Linked DNA regions of Drosophila melanogaster. The protein of the gene in region 2 purifies or fractionates together with the protein of the main gene of each other region. This does not show direct contact. Each region holds a gene or a part of one and is shown on either strand. Other genes may lie near its edges. The genes, in order: ImpL2, conv and Ilp5.

Evidence for each region.
Region 1: the proteins of conv (region 2) and ImpL2 purify together in Drosophila melanogaster (affinity purification with western blotting, with the first as the bait; one study listed by BioGRID). This does not show direct contact.
Region 3: the proteins of conv (region 2) and Ilp5 purify together in Drosophila melanogaster (affinity purification with western blotting, with the first as the bait; one study listed by BioGRID). This does not show direct contact.

The regions. Positions count from the first base shown.
Region 1 is NT_037436.4:4,223,835-4,228,013, forward strand, and holds ImpL2 (Ecdysone-inducible gene L2), read right to left. Parts: upstream 2,117-4,179; 5' UTR 2,059-2,116; coding exon 2,050-2,058; intron 1,873-2,049; coding exon 1,093-1,872; intron 1,018-1,092; coding exon 1,003-1,017; 3' UTR 876-1,002; downstream 1-875. Other genes in the region: CG46460 (uncharacterized protein), read right to left, coding at 2,847-2,942. UniProt on the Drosophila melanogaster protein: Essential developmental role during embryogenesis, in particular the normal development of the nervous system. May be involved in some aspect of cell adhesion.
Region 2 is NT_033778.4:14,268,624-14,276,354, reverse strand, and holds conv (convoluted), read right to left. Parts: upstream 5,627-7,731; 5' UTR 5,186-5,626; coding exon 5,085-5,185; intron 5,018-5,084; coding exon 4,857-5,017; intron 4,797-4,856; coding exon 4,627-4,796; intron 4,568-4,626; coding exon 3,965-4,567; intron 3,913-3,964; coding exon 3,046-3,912; intron 2,991-3,045; coding exon 2,896-2,990; intron 2,827-2,895; coding exon 1,939-2,826; intron 1,877-1,938; coding exon 1,483-1,876; 3' UTR 860-1,482; downstream 1-859. Other genes in the region: Sps1 (selenophosphate synthetase 1), read left to right, coding at 6,193-7,389.
Region 3 is NT_037436.4:9,822,398-9,825,716, reverse strand, and holds Ilp5 (Insulin-like peptide 5), read left to right. Parts: upstream 1-1,819; 5' UTR 1,820-1,843; coding exon 1,844-2,006; intron 2,007-2,077; coding exon 2,078-2,241; 3' UTR 2,242-2,368; downstream 2,369-3,319. Other genes in the region: CG43897 (uncharacterized protein), read right to left, coding at 1-914, 1,077-1,171.

The DNA.
Region 1 (4,179 bases), on a different chromosome or scaffold from region 2:
GTCCTCCGGATCGAGATCGTTATTTGTTGTTAAGATCGTATTGCAAAATATGGCAAAACTGTTTTACCCGTTCAATGTATGTACGTAACTGTACGAGTTTATGTAGATAATGTGACTATTCGTAGTTTGTAGATCCGTCAATAAAGTGATGAAAAGTGTATGTACTCGTAGCTGCTCGTTTTATTCACCCATTCAGCCCATTGAGTACTTTTGTTTCAATTTTCTTGTATTTATTCAAAAACAATCGCTTGAAGGTTGGATTAAAACTAACACTAAACAATTAGAAAAACATATTTCAGTTCTATTACCTTATAAATTAAAACATAGTCGGGTAGCTTATGAAACTGATTAATTCCGTGAATACTATTCAGTGATTCTGTATGGGTGGCGATGCTGAATGAATTTGGTCGATCAATAAATTAGTTGTAGAAATGATGGGTGCACATAAATACGAATTGGGTGGGTGATTGACTGATTGATTGGTTGATTGACTGTGGCTTGTGCCACGAGTCATAAGTGCTTCTTGGGCTGCAGTGCCCTTAAGTAAACGGCCAATTAGTTTAAATACGTTAACTAGTGCTGCCTGAATCGCTAGGAACAATCATTGCTACTTACAAAGAACCAAAGAAGCGTGATTACAAGCCGATAACTAAAGCTATAATTGAAGAAAACCATAAAGTAGGTGCTATAATTCGAATGCTCTAAATGTGACTGATATTCGAGGATAATAAGTGGGAAAATTAGTGTCTAAGCCGGCATTAGATACGGTTAATTACCTGGACTACGAGCTAGATTGTGCTTAATCTAAATTGTACATAATTGTAAATCGTATGACCTTTTGATCCATCATATTTTTTTTTGATTTTTTTTTTTTTGTATTTTTTCTAAGCATATTTCATTTCTTTTCACGCATCTTCGAAGGCATTTGATCTATCTAACTAACTAGATGAATTTCCGTCGTCAATCCAATAGCCTTTTGTTTTTTATTTGGTGGTAGGATCTTTAGTCTTCCTCATTCTGCAAGGACAAGAAAAATACGTAGGGATTACTTAGGATGAGTTGGTATAACCCGGCGGGTAGGGGAATACTTACAAGTACGGGATACACGAAGGTATCGGCGGTATCCTTTCCGACGACGTTGCGGGCTATGCACTTGTAGTTGCCCATATCCTCCCACTTGATCTCGGAGATCAGAAGATCGCCGTTGGCCAGCACCCTGTGGCGATGTCCTTGGACGATCTCCTTGTTCTCGTTATTCAACCAGGTGATCTCGGCGCGGGGACGGGCGTGCACGCGGCAGGGCAGCTGAATGTTGGAGCCCATGAGGTCCAGATGCGTCTTCTCGGTGTAGATGATTCGCGGTTTCTGGGCACCCGGGTAGGTCTTCTCCGGCGTCAGACGAGAGGAGCGAGGAGGATGCACCACAGTGCTGGCATAGATGGTCTTGGAGCCAGTGCGTCCCACACACGTGTAGGTGCGGGCCTCGCTCAGCACGTGGTCGATGATATGCGACGATCGGACGCGCACAATGGCACTGGGCGCCTCTTCGGCAACCTGGTTGGAGTCCAGATCATCGAGCTCCGAGCGGGGCAGGTGACCCACCACCCACTGGATGCTGGGCACTTGGGAGCCCATCATCTCGCAAACGATCTCGATGGTGGCTCCATCGGCCTGCTGCAGCTTCGTCGGCGGCGTCTTGGTGAACTTGAGCCAGTCGGCTTCGAAGGCTCGGTTGCGTGGCTTCTCCTCCTCCGCCTCGATGGAGTTATCCACGTCGTTGCTATCGTCTACCAGGTCCACGGCTCTTCCGCGGACAGTGGCGATGCTGCCGAACAGCAGCAGCGCTAAGGCGCACACATGTAAATTCATTTTCTGCAAGATCGATAGAGAGAGTGGAAATCGGAAGTGAGTTCAAAGTTCAACAGCGGCACTCGTACGACTCTAATATAGGTTATTAAACCCCAGAGCAACGTGATGCGATTAGCCCGACTTTTCAGCCAGTCATGCATCCCCCCACCACCCCACCACCCCACTTCCCCCACTCATCACCGCCTCCATTAATCAGGGGAGGTCTCCGAGTCTATTTCCCCGATAAGAACGCAAGGCCTTCAGTCGGCGGGCTCTAGAACATTACTAACACTTGCGAAATGTGCTAATGGCTCTCGGAGTCCGGAATTTAGATTCGGAATCCTTTTCCGGCCCCTAAGAGATGTGCTCGGTCCAAACGTAGATGAATGTATTTCACAATGACACGTCACCAGACAACAAGAATTGACAAAAGAAAATGATATAAGATTCTTGCGTGGGCCGAATCAGAGGCAGAAATCGAAAACGGAAAACGGAATGACTCGCGGAGTGTGACGTCAATTTAAATTCGAATTCTACAGCCCGATTCGGATTCACACACTCACCCACGCTTCAGCCGCAGATCAAGGGCCAATGTGTCCCCATAGTCTAGACTGGACAAACTGCGTGACCGATTAATTATTCAAATAGTTTCGAGGGTATTATGTATGTACATACGCTTGTATGTATGAATTAGTAGTAGCCCCACAAAAAGTCATTCGCCAATCGCTGGCGAATGTTGCATCAGACGGTCTTTGCCCTTCGACGGTGATTTTTGTATCTTTGGGCATTTCTACGAATTCGAATTTTGAAAAAAAAAAAACAAACGAAAAACGGAACACGAAACTGCGTTCGGCGGCAATCACCTATCTATTGTTAACGCACATTACTCACCCTTTGATTTGATTTCTTTTTTCTCTTCCGGTAAAAAATGTTTGCAAATTTCTCCCCAACGTTGGACGATGATAGATCAGGTAAAGCAGAAGCAGGTCGGCTTATCGTTATGTTATGAACGAATTTATCAGCTCTATGTTGTGATGGCTCCTGGTCTGGGCTTTCTGGTTGAAGTTGAGCAGCAGCTGGCTTAGCACTGACATAGGTCCGGCGCTGGATGCCGTCTTGGAGGTCGTGCAGCTCAGTGTTGGTGGAATCTTGGCTGCTTGCCGGTCTGTCTTGGGCGACGAGGATGGATCGTATTGAAACGTCTGGGTGCTGTGCTCGGGAGTGGCGCTTCAGGATCGGGATAAGGATCGAGTAATTGGGTAGCGGAAGCGTGTTAATCTCAGGCGGCGTAGCGAATATCTAGCTGACTACTTTGGCACATTCGATCCTCGTGGCGGTATCAGTGCTCCTTCGATGTGGACGTGGACTTGGTCTGGTACTTCTTGATGGTTGTCTGGTTGGCGCGGCACTCGTTTGAATACGCACGGTTCATCGACATTACACTCGAGTCAAGGTGTGTTGGTTTTTGGTTTTTGGGGGGGATTGCTGCTGCGAATGCGGTTCACGGCGAATTGAAAAGCGAGGATCGCGGATCGGCTTAGTTAACTTCGGATCAGTTGGCTTCGGCGGCTCTCAAAAGTCGTGTTCAACAGCTGGAAACTGTAACAGAACTGAATTGGTGGCCGCAGCGCTGTTCCATTTATATGCGACGCCGGCTCACTCACACACACACACAGACAACAGACACACACACACACACTCTCACTCACTCGCCGCTCTCTCTCTGCTCGTTCTCGGATCGTAATTCTTTATGCGACCGCCGCACCGGGAAGGTGCGGAACAAAACAGATATAACCGGACGGGGGGTTCGATTATCCGCCTCGGGATCTGTCTTTCCACCGCCTAATTGCGTCCGCAGTCCAGAGTTGGTGGTTTGGAAACTGAGGTGTCTCACAAGGATAGCTCAATGACTTTCCAGCCCATATACCATTTCATTTCGATCTTGACAATTAACATTGTCATCTTATGCAAGTTGTTGAGAACATACAACAGTGTTCGAGATCCTATGACTTTCTATCACATGTAAGTAAAATTAATTAACCCTACATATAAAGGTGCTTCACACTACTCTGTTAATATTCATGAATCATTTCGACGAAGTGCAAAGTATCAACCGTATATTATTCGTTTAGCTTACTGAATTAGCACTGTAGTTGTCAAAACCATTAATTAAAACTCCATGGTTTCGAATTCATTCGAACGAATTAATTTTGTAATCCATAACCAATCTCCCAATTAATAACCACCCATGGGAATCAGAACTTAAAGCCCGTTGACGGTGCGAGCAGCATTCAAATGTCTGGCCAAGAACAGACCACTTCTTTTTTTTTT
Region 2 (7,731 bases):
TGGGTCGCGCTGGCTCCTTTCGTTTAAATGTTTATCACAATGCTGCTTTCGCTGAATGCTGATTTATGCCATTCGCCACCGAGCAGCGCACTTAAACTTGCTATTTGAAATTTCTTCTTTATGTAACGAACGGAATAACGGCACACTCGCTGCTGCTGCTGCGACTGCTACTGCTGCTGCGACTGCTGCTGCTGCTGCGACACGAACGAACTCAGCGCGACAAGTGAAACTTGGCTTCCCGATTCGCATGCCACTGACGTGCGCCGTGGTAACAGAAACAGAAGCAGAAACGGCCGAGCCGAGCCCGCGAGATTCGCTGAAAATCGATAAGGACAGGCAAAGTCGCCTGCCAAAATCCTAAGGAGGAGGCGGCGGGGGCAGGAGGACCAGGATGGCAAAGGCGAACGGCACAAAAGCACATTCTTCTGCGGCCAAAGTGAAACCGAGAGCATGTGGGTGGCGCGCGGCAGTGAAAGTGCACATGTCCTTAGTGTCTCGTGTCCTGCGGCACAGTGGAGGTTCGGTCGAATTGATAGGTCCTTTGGATGCTCCTTCAATATCTCCTGGAAGCTATCGAATAAGGTAGGGTGTAATACACACATGTATTGATCAGAAATTACCTCAGTAATAAAATCCAAAAATTAAAAACAATCTTAATTGCTGTACCTTTACATTAAATTTGTGTTGTATATATTTAAGAAATAATAAAGCTTTAAAAACATTGCTAACGTATGTATATTTCCCCCCTGGTAATAAATTAAATATATTCAGAACAGGAAACTGTAGAGCCAAATAACAAAAACAATAGCATAATTCTAGGAGCATGCCGATACTGTAGCTGTGCAAACAATTTCGACCGCCAGTGTGCTACTCGCATGCCTTTTCGGTTGAGAGCGCGAGTGCGCATTTGCCAGGCTCTCAGGCGAGTCCTTTCACTCGCTCGCAGTCCTTTTGTCCGCTCCCGCTGCACAAACAGGAGCCGAGTCCGAGTTGAGAATGAATCGCCGCGCCGAAGAGCACTTCGGATTACAGCCTTTGTGTTTTCGCCCTGAATGAAAGTCAGCCAGCCTGGGCCATCAGCCATCAGCTGGCCCGTTGGGTTGGCTGTGGGCTCCAACGCTTTCTGAATTGCGCTGCCCACGCGAGGCGGCGTCCAAGTAAACAAATACATGTGCGCACGGCTGTGATAATAGGGCGTCGCGCACATGTTCAGCTGTAAGGTCAGAGCACAGCGTGTCCTTACAGTGAGCCATGGCCACAGCGACACACACTAGCAAACGGCCAACAATGGGATCAAAGATCAAGGACAATCTGATCTCTTTTCAAGATTCATTTTATCACATCGATACGAACTTAAAACGATTTTTACATACATAAAGTGCACAATTTGTAACTTGAAGACAATCAGTATTACAATCATTTTCGAGTATAGTTATCTACTTATTAAGAAAATAATCTTGGTGCACAGTTTTCCCATGCTAACTACAATCTGGCAACAAACAAAACGAGTATTATATACAAAAGGCAACGAGGTAGGCTGCTGGAGGTCCGGGAAACGCCACCGCGGACCTGAAAGTTTCCGAAGAAGAAAGTCCGGGGCCGCTTCAGCGAAGGTAGCTGCTGGCACTGCCCGGAGAACCACTTGCGCGTATTTCCATCGCTATCCCGGGATACTATACATATCTCAGCGCCTCGAAGTTTCTCTTCTCCCAGCGTCGATAGCTCTTCCACCGGGATTTGGGCAGTACGATTGTTATAGGCATAGTCCGACTGGTGAAGCACATCGTTGCTACTGCTTCGGATATAAACGTGGAAGTCTGAGACGTCTGAAAAGCCGGAGACATACCAGCATAGGGTCAACATGCCCGCTTTGTTGCTATTTGAAAAATGTACAAGGATTATAAGTTACTTTAAGTTCAAACTGCAAAATATGCATACGTTTTCACTTCTCGGAATCGGACATCTGTAAGCTGTTCATAGTCAATGCCCTTATACATCTCCTGCTCATCCTCGGCGCAGTGCAGATACTCATCGTCCAAAGATATAAGCTGCTTGTCCTTGATCAAAGCCGGCGTTCCGCAGTAAATACTCTTCAAATCCTCTCCAGCTATCGTTTGCTGCAGCATAAAGTATTTCAACGGTCGTGCATTGCATCCGCAGTGCAGAGGATTTCCGGCCAGAAGTACTTGGCTACCATTACGCATGCTGCCCACTATCGAAGCGGGCACATCCTCCAGACTATTGTTGGTAAGATCAACATATTTCAGGGATTTCACTTTCACCAGATTGGCGAACGGCAAGTGGTAGATTTTGTTGTGGGAAAGGTCCAACCAGCTCAGGTTTTGAGGCAGGTCAAAGATGTGCTCTTCAGACTTCAGATTAGATAGTTCATTATAAGACATATCCAAACTTTGAAGTGAAGTAAAATTAGAGATAACTCCTCTCCTTAGATCGTTGATCTGATTGTGAGATACATCCAACCGAACCAGCTTTTTGGTGCCGAATGTAATATCATAGGTCAGTATTGGCATCAAATTGTAGCTTAGGTTCAGGTTTCTTAGGTTGTACGGAATGTACTGATGAGAGGGAAAGGTTTTCTTGGTAACAAAACTTATACGATTGTGACTCAAATCTAAGGTTTCCAAACTGAGTAAATCATCCAGAACACCATTGGTTTTGTTGTCCAACTTGGTGAGAGAATTGAAGGACAGATCAAGGTTTCGCAGAGATGGTAGACCAACAAAGATGTCATTTTGCAGAGTCTGGATTCCGTTCGATGACAAATTTAAAGTGAGCAGCTGCAGCAGTCCCTCAAAAGCTCGCTTGCTACAAGTTATAAATGGGTTATTAGTCATATTATAAATAAAAAATGTACAGATTTTAGATAAATCTTACCTTATATCCTTAACTTGGTTACCATACAGATTTAACTCAAACAAGACGGGCAGCTTACCAAAGGCACTTCGTTCTAAGGTCGTAATATTGTTGTTCTAAATAAAAAGTTGGATGAGTTTGGAGGTTAGAATTCTCATAGCATTTGCTCACCTCCAAATGTAAGTACTGCAGTGTTGACATGACAGCCACCGCATCCTTTGGTGGCTGACTGATGCCATTGTTTTGCAGCTTCAGTCGTTGCACCACCAACAGACCTGTAAAACTCTCCCCGTTTAGAGTGTCTCCCAGCTGATTATGGCTTAGGTCCAAGTAGATCAGTGAGTTCATCACTGGCCAGGTGCCCGATGGTATATTAGTCAGCCTGTTATGGCTGAAGTACAGCTCATTTAGGGAAATAGGCAACTGGAAAAGTTTTTCCAATTGATTATTATTTAAATACAGCTGTCGCAAACTGGTCAACTTGGCCAGCGATCCTCGCACTACGGATACCAGTTCGTTATGACTCAGATCCATTTCCAAGAGGGTTGGCAAAGTGCCAAATGTCGACGACTTGATTTCCCTCATGCTATTATGGCTAAGATCAATTGAGCGTAGCGAGAATAGGGTTTGAAAAACTCCATTAAATATACTGGAGATGTTATTGTGCGAGACATCGATGGTGTGCAGTTCATAGAGCTTTGGAAAACAATTTTTGGGTATTTCGGTAATGCTATTGTACGAGGCATTCAAGACTTTCAAGCCAGTCATATTTTGAATGGGAATCTGTGCCAAATTGGTAAGATTGTTGTAGCTCAGCTGAAAATAGGTCGCGAAAGTGGTCTCATCGAAGCTGCGACGCGAAAAGTTGGCCAACCGATTGTGAGACAAGTCAAGAACCGTGATGTTTACACAATTTTCAAATGCAGCTGTTTCAATGAGTTCCAAAGCGTTATGCGATACGTTTATGATAGCCTGGTAAATATCCTTGAAAGAGTTCTTTTCAATCTTGGTTATGTTGTTCTCCGCCAAATCGAGCAACTGAAAAGCAGCAATTAGTTAAATTTTTCAAATTTTATATTAGCAATTGTACCTCCACATAGTTCATCTGGGTAAACATCTGGAACTCGATCTTCTTAAGACGGTTGCGTGCAAGATCAATAGTTCCAATGCGGGCAATTGAGCCGAAAGTACCACGACCAATATCCGTGAGCACATTATCGCTGAGGAAAAGACGACGGAGGAAACGCATACCCCTAAAACTATTCGCATCTAGGCGTGCAATCTGGTTGTGGGACAAATGGAGCACCTTCAACACAGAGTTTCTGGCAAAAGTTCCGCGACTAAGTTCGCTTAGGGCATTATGAGAAACGTTGCACCATCCCAGCTTTGTCAGATCAGCTATGTGCTGTGCCTCCAGCTTTTTGATCTGGTTGTGACTTATATCCAAGACCTCCAACTCTCTTAGATTCTTAAATTGGTTTCGTTTCAGATTCTCCAATTGATTTCCATGCAAGTCGAGCGTTTTTAGTTTCCGCAATGGCTGGAAAGTCTCAATAGGCAGATCACTTAGGTTACCATTGGTCACACGTATGATTCCCAGACTATTGGCGATCTCTTGGCCAGCAAATAGATCCTTGGGTAGCTGTTGGAACGCATGGCCATCGATTACGAGTTCCTTAGCTTTTCCTAGAATCTGAAAAAAGAATTTCCCGTTTAGATAACGATGGTATCGGTATATTGTTTAATTCTTACGCCGAATCCTAGTAAACCAACGTGGCTTAGATTTGTGCGAAGTAAATGCAGTTGCTCCAAAGTATTATTTACTCCATAGAAAACATAATCCTCAATGGTGGCCAATGGTGTTTCTTCTATGATCAGCATTCGTGCTTTGATATGAGCAAATAGTGGCCCATATAGACGAACTAGAAAGAGAATTTGATTCTTCAGCTTAACAGACTAAAAGGACGTGTAGAAGTACACACCGAAATGTCCTCTGTAGATGGTCAACTCCTCGATGGGCATACCAAAAGAGGCCAAATTCTGAAGGGCTACGGATAAGGTAGCCAAGTTTGTATTTTCGCACCGAATGTAGAGGCCATTATCGCTGCCCTTCACACATTCGCAGGGGTACAAGGCCTTTGATCTGATTTGAAAAAAAAACACCATATAAGTGAAGAAATATGTAATATACAATATTTGGAATAACTCACTTTTTTGGACACTTGAATTCGGGTTCGCCATACACATATTCCGAACTGGCTAGGGCAATGAAGTGCAGCAAAACGAGAGTGCGCAGGCGTAGCTGAATCATGTTTTAATGATTTCGTCACCGTTTTAATTTAGTTTATCCCATGGCCCAAAACCAAGTTCGCTGCTCAAGTCTTTTGTGTGGGCTTCGATTTCCTGAAACTTATAGTTCTTTGTTTAACGATGTTCCGCTTGAATGAGGTGGGTTTTTTTTTGGGATGTGGAGTAAAGTTAACTTGTCTTATCAACGAACAAAGGTAAATGGTTTCTTCTACTTTTACTTTTCGCTCTGCTGGCGCAACAGGTTTTCATGGGCCGCTCTTGTGCGCTCTTTGTGACCAGCACTTTGGAGCTCTAATTGAATTAATGCCAACTATATTAACTGCTCCCGAAAGTCAGAGCACTGTGAACCACAGTTTCCACTTCGGTTCCCCCATTTATTCCGCGGTTTTAACATATTTTTATTTATTTTACCCTTGGCGCACAATACAATCGATAGATTTCGGGCGAGTTGGCAGCCCCGTTGAACCATCGCTTCAGACAATCGGCATCCCAAATATCGAATCAGCCGCACACGCTAATACAACCCTGTTGTGACATCTCGCTCGTTGGAAAAGCAAAAACCAGGCGCAAAATAAATATAATTTGCTAACGTTACTCTACAATTATCTTTGTACAATCGCACAAGCAAACGTAAGTACCAAAAGACAAACGAACGCAACGAACCAAATGGCCAATTCAAAGCGCGCACTTTTTGGCATTTTGCAATTGAAATGAGTGGGCATTGTTCACGTTGCTCGCCTCGTCGACAGGGAGAAATACTGACTTCGCCCGTTTTAGCCGCCATCGCGACTGCAGCCAATCACGGGCCGCGCTACACACACGCGGCAGAAAATCCGTGTACATACACGTCTGAGCGCTGTGGTATTGGTGGCCGGGGAGAACGCGAGTTACTCGCTGCATAGAGTAGCCCACTATGTGTTTATTGCGCGGCAAAAGTGCGTTAATCGGTTAAAGCCGCTACTTACATTCTGTTCTTTGCATCTCCCCCATCCACAGCTATAAAGCAAGATGAGCTACGCCGCTGATGTGCTGAACTCGGCCCATTTGGAGCTCCATGGTGGTGGCGACGCCGAGTTGCGTCGTCCATTCGATCCCACGGCCCATGATTTGGATGCATCCTTCCGCCTTACACGCTTCGCAGATCTAAAGGGGCGCGGCTGCAAAGTGCCGCAGGATGTGCTCTCCAAGCTGGTGTCCGCCCTGCAGCAGGACTACTCTGCCCAGGACCAGGAACCGCAGTTTCTCAACGTGGCCATTCCCCGCATCGGTATTGGCCTGGACTGCTCCGTCATTCCGCTGCGACACGGCGGACTCTGCCTGGTGCAGACCACCGATTTCTTTTACCCCATTGTCGATGATCCCTACATGATGGGCAAAATTGCGTGCGCCAATGTGCTCAGCGATTTGTATGCCATGGGAGTCACAGATTGCGATAACATGCTGATGCTGTTGGCGGTCAGTACCAAGATGACAGAGAAGGAGCGTGACGTGGTCATTCCGCTGATAATGCGAGGCTTTAAGGACTCCGCTTTGGAGGCAGGCACCACTGTGACTGGAGGCCAGAGCGTGGTCAATCCGTGGTGCACCATTGGTGGGGTTGCCTCGACCATTTGCCAGCCAAATGAGTATATTGTGCCAGATAATGCCGTGGTAGGGGATGTACTGGTGCTAACCAAGCCACTGGGCACCCAAGTGGCCGTGAATGCCCACCAGTGGATTGACCAGCCGGAGCGCTGGAACCGCATTAAGCTGGTGGTGTCCGAAGAAGATGTACGCAAGGCCTACCACCGGGCGATGAACTCTATGGCTCGCCTCAACCGCGTAGCCGCTCGCCTCATGCACAAGTACAATGCCCACGGAGCCACCGATATTACTGGATTCGGACTACTAGGCCACGCTCAAACCCTGGCTGCACATCAGAAAAAGGATGTCTCCTTTGTTATCCACAATCTGCCGGTGATCGCCAAGATGGCTGCAGTGGCCAAAGCCTGCGGCAACATGTTCCAGCTGCTGCAGGGCCACTCGGCGGAGACCTCGGGAGGATTACTGATCTGCCTGCCGCGAGAGCAGGCCGCTGCTTATTGCAAGGACATCGAGAAGCAGGAGGGCTACCAGGCCTGGATCATCGGCATCGTTGAGAAGGGCAATAAGACCGCACGCATCATCGACAAGCCCCGCGTCATTGAGGTGCCCGCCAAGGACTAGGTCTCCATTGCCTGACCATCTGCTATTGTCTACCTTAAGTATCTTAATATTAACGTAACGGCTGCTACATTCAGTTGTAACCGGCATGATCGGTCTTTGTTTTTTATAAAAAAGCTTATCAACTACAGATTCACTGATCATTATAATCTTGGACGTCTCTACTGCAATACGAGTGAATAAAATGAAAACACTTGAATCTTTTGTATCGAGTAATTGGAATGCGGGGCATCTGAATGAGCTTTTTCCAGTCAACTTTGTTATTAAATTACAGCTCACAGTTTGGCAAAAAGTGGAGCATCTTCGGAATCGCATACATTTTGAACAGTTGTGTGTTGAGAATTT
Region 3 (3,319 bases), on a different chromosome or scaffold from region 2:
CACGTTGTCAATTACCATTCGCCCTGCTGTCTTCGCTTGATTGAGATTTGCGGCAGCTGGCGACACCGGTGTCGGTGGCAGCGGCAAGGTCTCCAAATCCACATCTTGACCAGAATTGGGATCATCCTCGCTGTCGCCGTCGTGGCCATATGAGATCTTTACCTCAGTGGCCAGTTTTATGCACCGCCGTTGGACTTTTGGCTTTGAAGTTCTCGGCTTAGGTGGCGGCAATTCCGGAGCACCCACTGTACGTTTCCGGGAGCGGCTACGATCCAGGGAATGAGCCTGTCTCTTGTATCTTGGCCTATATGGAGTGATTTGAGTGGGCAGAGTTGGTGTGGCGGACCTTTTGTGGGCCAATTGCTCGTAGTACTCACATCGCGGAGCCACCAAACCCAAATCCACATCGGCTGCCTTGGTCTCTGGAGCGGAGAATCCCTTGGATATGGGAGTTTGATGGAAAACTTCCGCCAGGTCAGGTTCTTTGGTGTGCTTTTGGAGCGTTTTTGATCTCTCTTTGGAGCCACCATCGCGTCGTCGCTGCTCTCTCACTTCATTGGCAGTGGGTTCGATAACCAGGGTGGGACTCTGGAACTTCTCCCTCAGAGCCTCAATACTGTGCGATGGGCTGCAGGAGATCTGATGGCTCTGTTCGGGATTGATAGTTGGTTGATCCTGCTCAGCTGGAGGCCAGCTGTGATCCCGTTTGAGCAGATGCCTCTTGGTGGCCAGACGGTTGATTTTCAGCACCGTGTCCCGATCGATAGTGATGTCCTGCTGATGACTGAGATAGTCTGTTTTGATCTGGTTCAGAAGCTGCTGGTGCAGCGTGTGATGCAGTGCATCCACCTCGCCTCGTTGACGCGGGCGACTCTGCCTTTCAGTGGGGTAAAAATCTTTGTGGGGGAAGTCCCCTGAATTTATTTAAATTTATCTGTAAAAAACACTAATATTGGACGAGCACTGGGACTGGAGTTTGCTGTTTTGTTGTATGTTTCTACACTGTTTCTTTTTGTCTAGGCAACATAAAATAAACGCGCATAGACAAATATCCAAAAAAGAGAGGTATATCTTACCACATTTGGCTTGTTGTTCTTCCTCTTCGACGGCGCGCAGAACGGCCGAGTTGGCCAAGTTCAGGGGCTTCGTTATTTGATCGTCGACTTCAATCCTAAAAATAACGTAAAAATACAATACAATTAGTAAGAATCAATGCACATCGTATATTGTATGAGGTAAAATTTTAAATTTCGCGGTATATACTGCTTGTGTGTTTGGCGCACTGCTTCGACTGCTTGCAAGCAGTTAGCGCCAAATTTAAATTTATTTTTAAATATGCTCTCCTCGCAGGCATGTATTCGATTGTCATGCGTTCTTTTGGTATATGTTATAGAATTATACATGTGAACAGGCAAAAATGTAATATACGACTTTACTTTCTTAGATATACAATAAGTACATTACTTAAATATTTCATGAAATACAAACTTATGATCGTATGCACTATTTGCACGATAAGCCAATTAAACATATTGAAAATGAAAGCCCTTCTAACTAAAGACCATATATATCGTTATACATTTTGATTTCAGCTATTATATATAGATTCCGCCACCCCCTTGGTGCATCCGATTAAGCGAAAGTTACGCTAATCCATGGGCATAAATTAATGATAGCACCCTGCGATGTCCTGACATTGAAAATTAGCAAGTACGCTCCTGCCCACGCTGACCCCAAAAGACTAATCCAATCTGACAGGTGAAAGTGCGCCGGCGGATATAAAAATGGCTGACAGCGGCGGAAACTGCACCACATCCTATCCAGCAGCAGTTCCAGCAAGGCAATGATGTTCCGCTCCGTGATCCCAGTTCTCCTGTTCCTGATCCCGCTCCTGCTATCCGCCCAGGCCGCAAACTCGCTGCGGGCTTGTGGCCCCGCCTTGATGGACATGCTGAGGGTTGCCTGTCCCAATGGATTCAATTCAATGTTCGCCAAACGAGGCACCTGTGAGTATCGGCTGCGTTTTTTTGGGGTTTGGGGTTTCCAAACGGCACGAACTCACTTATTTTACTTGCAGTGGGCCTATTCGATTATGAGGACCACTTGGCGGATTTGGATAGCTCCGAATCTCACCACATGAACTCACTGTCGAGCATTCGGCGCGATTTTCGCGGCGTTGTCGACTCCTGTTGCCGCAAATCGTGTTCCTTTTCCACGTTGAGGGCATACTGCGACTCCTAAAAATGCTGCGATACCTGGTCCATCAGTTTACATACATACATATATGAGACATGTTACGTAAAAGTATTAAGTATAAACTATATGCACGGCTTTGAAACTTGAAACTACAATAAATAAGCGCAATTCGAAACATCGCTTTTTAATTTCTTCAAACATTAAATATTATAAATATTTCGATAATAATTTTAGCCTTTAAAAGTGAACAGATACACTAAATGGTTAGCAAAAGAACAATATGAACAATTTTAAACACACTTTGATATATCCAAATTCTATTATAACAATGTTTATTTTTTTCCATACGAAAATATGCTCCTTTGAGCGGAAGGAAAATCAAATTTTGATTTAAATCGCAGCAAGTTGGGTGGAAATTTTGCACACAAACAAAACTATGCCTTTCGCTTGCCTGGCGATTTTCTTTAAGCTGGCAAAAAGAGTTTTCAACTTTAATTATAATTTGCTTGAAATGTTTTGCTTTCAACGCATCATCTTAATCTGGGACGAAATGTTTTGCCTCAACAAAACGAGATAACAAACAGAAATATTTAAGCTAAGAAAATGTGCCTGCTGAGATAAGACCTTAAAGAATTTATGGACGACAAAGTCCAGAGATAATCGCCAAGCTTTAAGCTTTTTCGGCAATTTAAGACGAACGTCAGCCATTCCTCATTAGATCCGACATTGACCTTTTAGCTGGGAACATTTGGCAAAAAATCACTCACATCTGTCGGCCTCAACTTTAATTAGTTGATTAATTTGAAGGAAGTGTAAACATTGTGACAACCTCATTCGCCGCAGGCCCATTTTGGCTCAAAAATAAAGACAAATAGATAGATAGATAGACATTCAATTCATTGAATTTTAATAGAGATTTGCTCAAATATTTGCCCAGATATCCACTTAGTGGCGTTTGCTTAATTAACAGCACAGCGTTTTAATTATTTTCTGTTCGAAATTTGATTGGTTAATTTTCCGATTTCACTGTGATTCACCGATGGGCAGAAAGTCAAGAGATGCCTCACTACTTTTTTGGCTAGACGCCTGCCGCTTGTTTGTTGACATTGTTTTAGTTGTTATT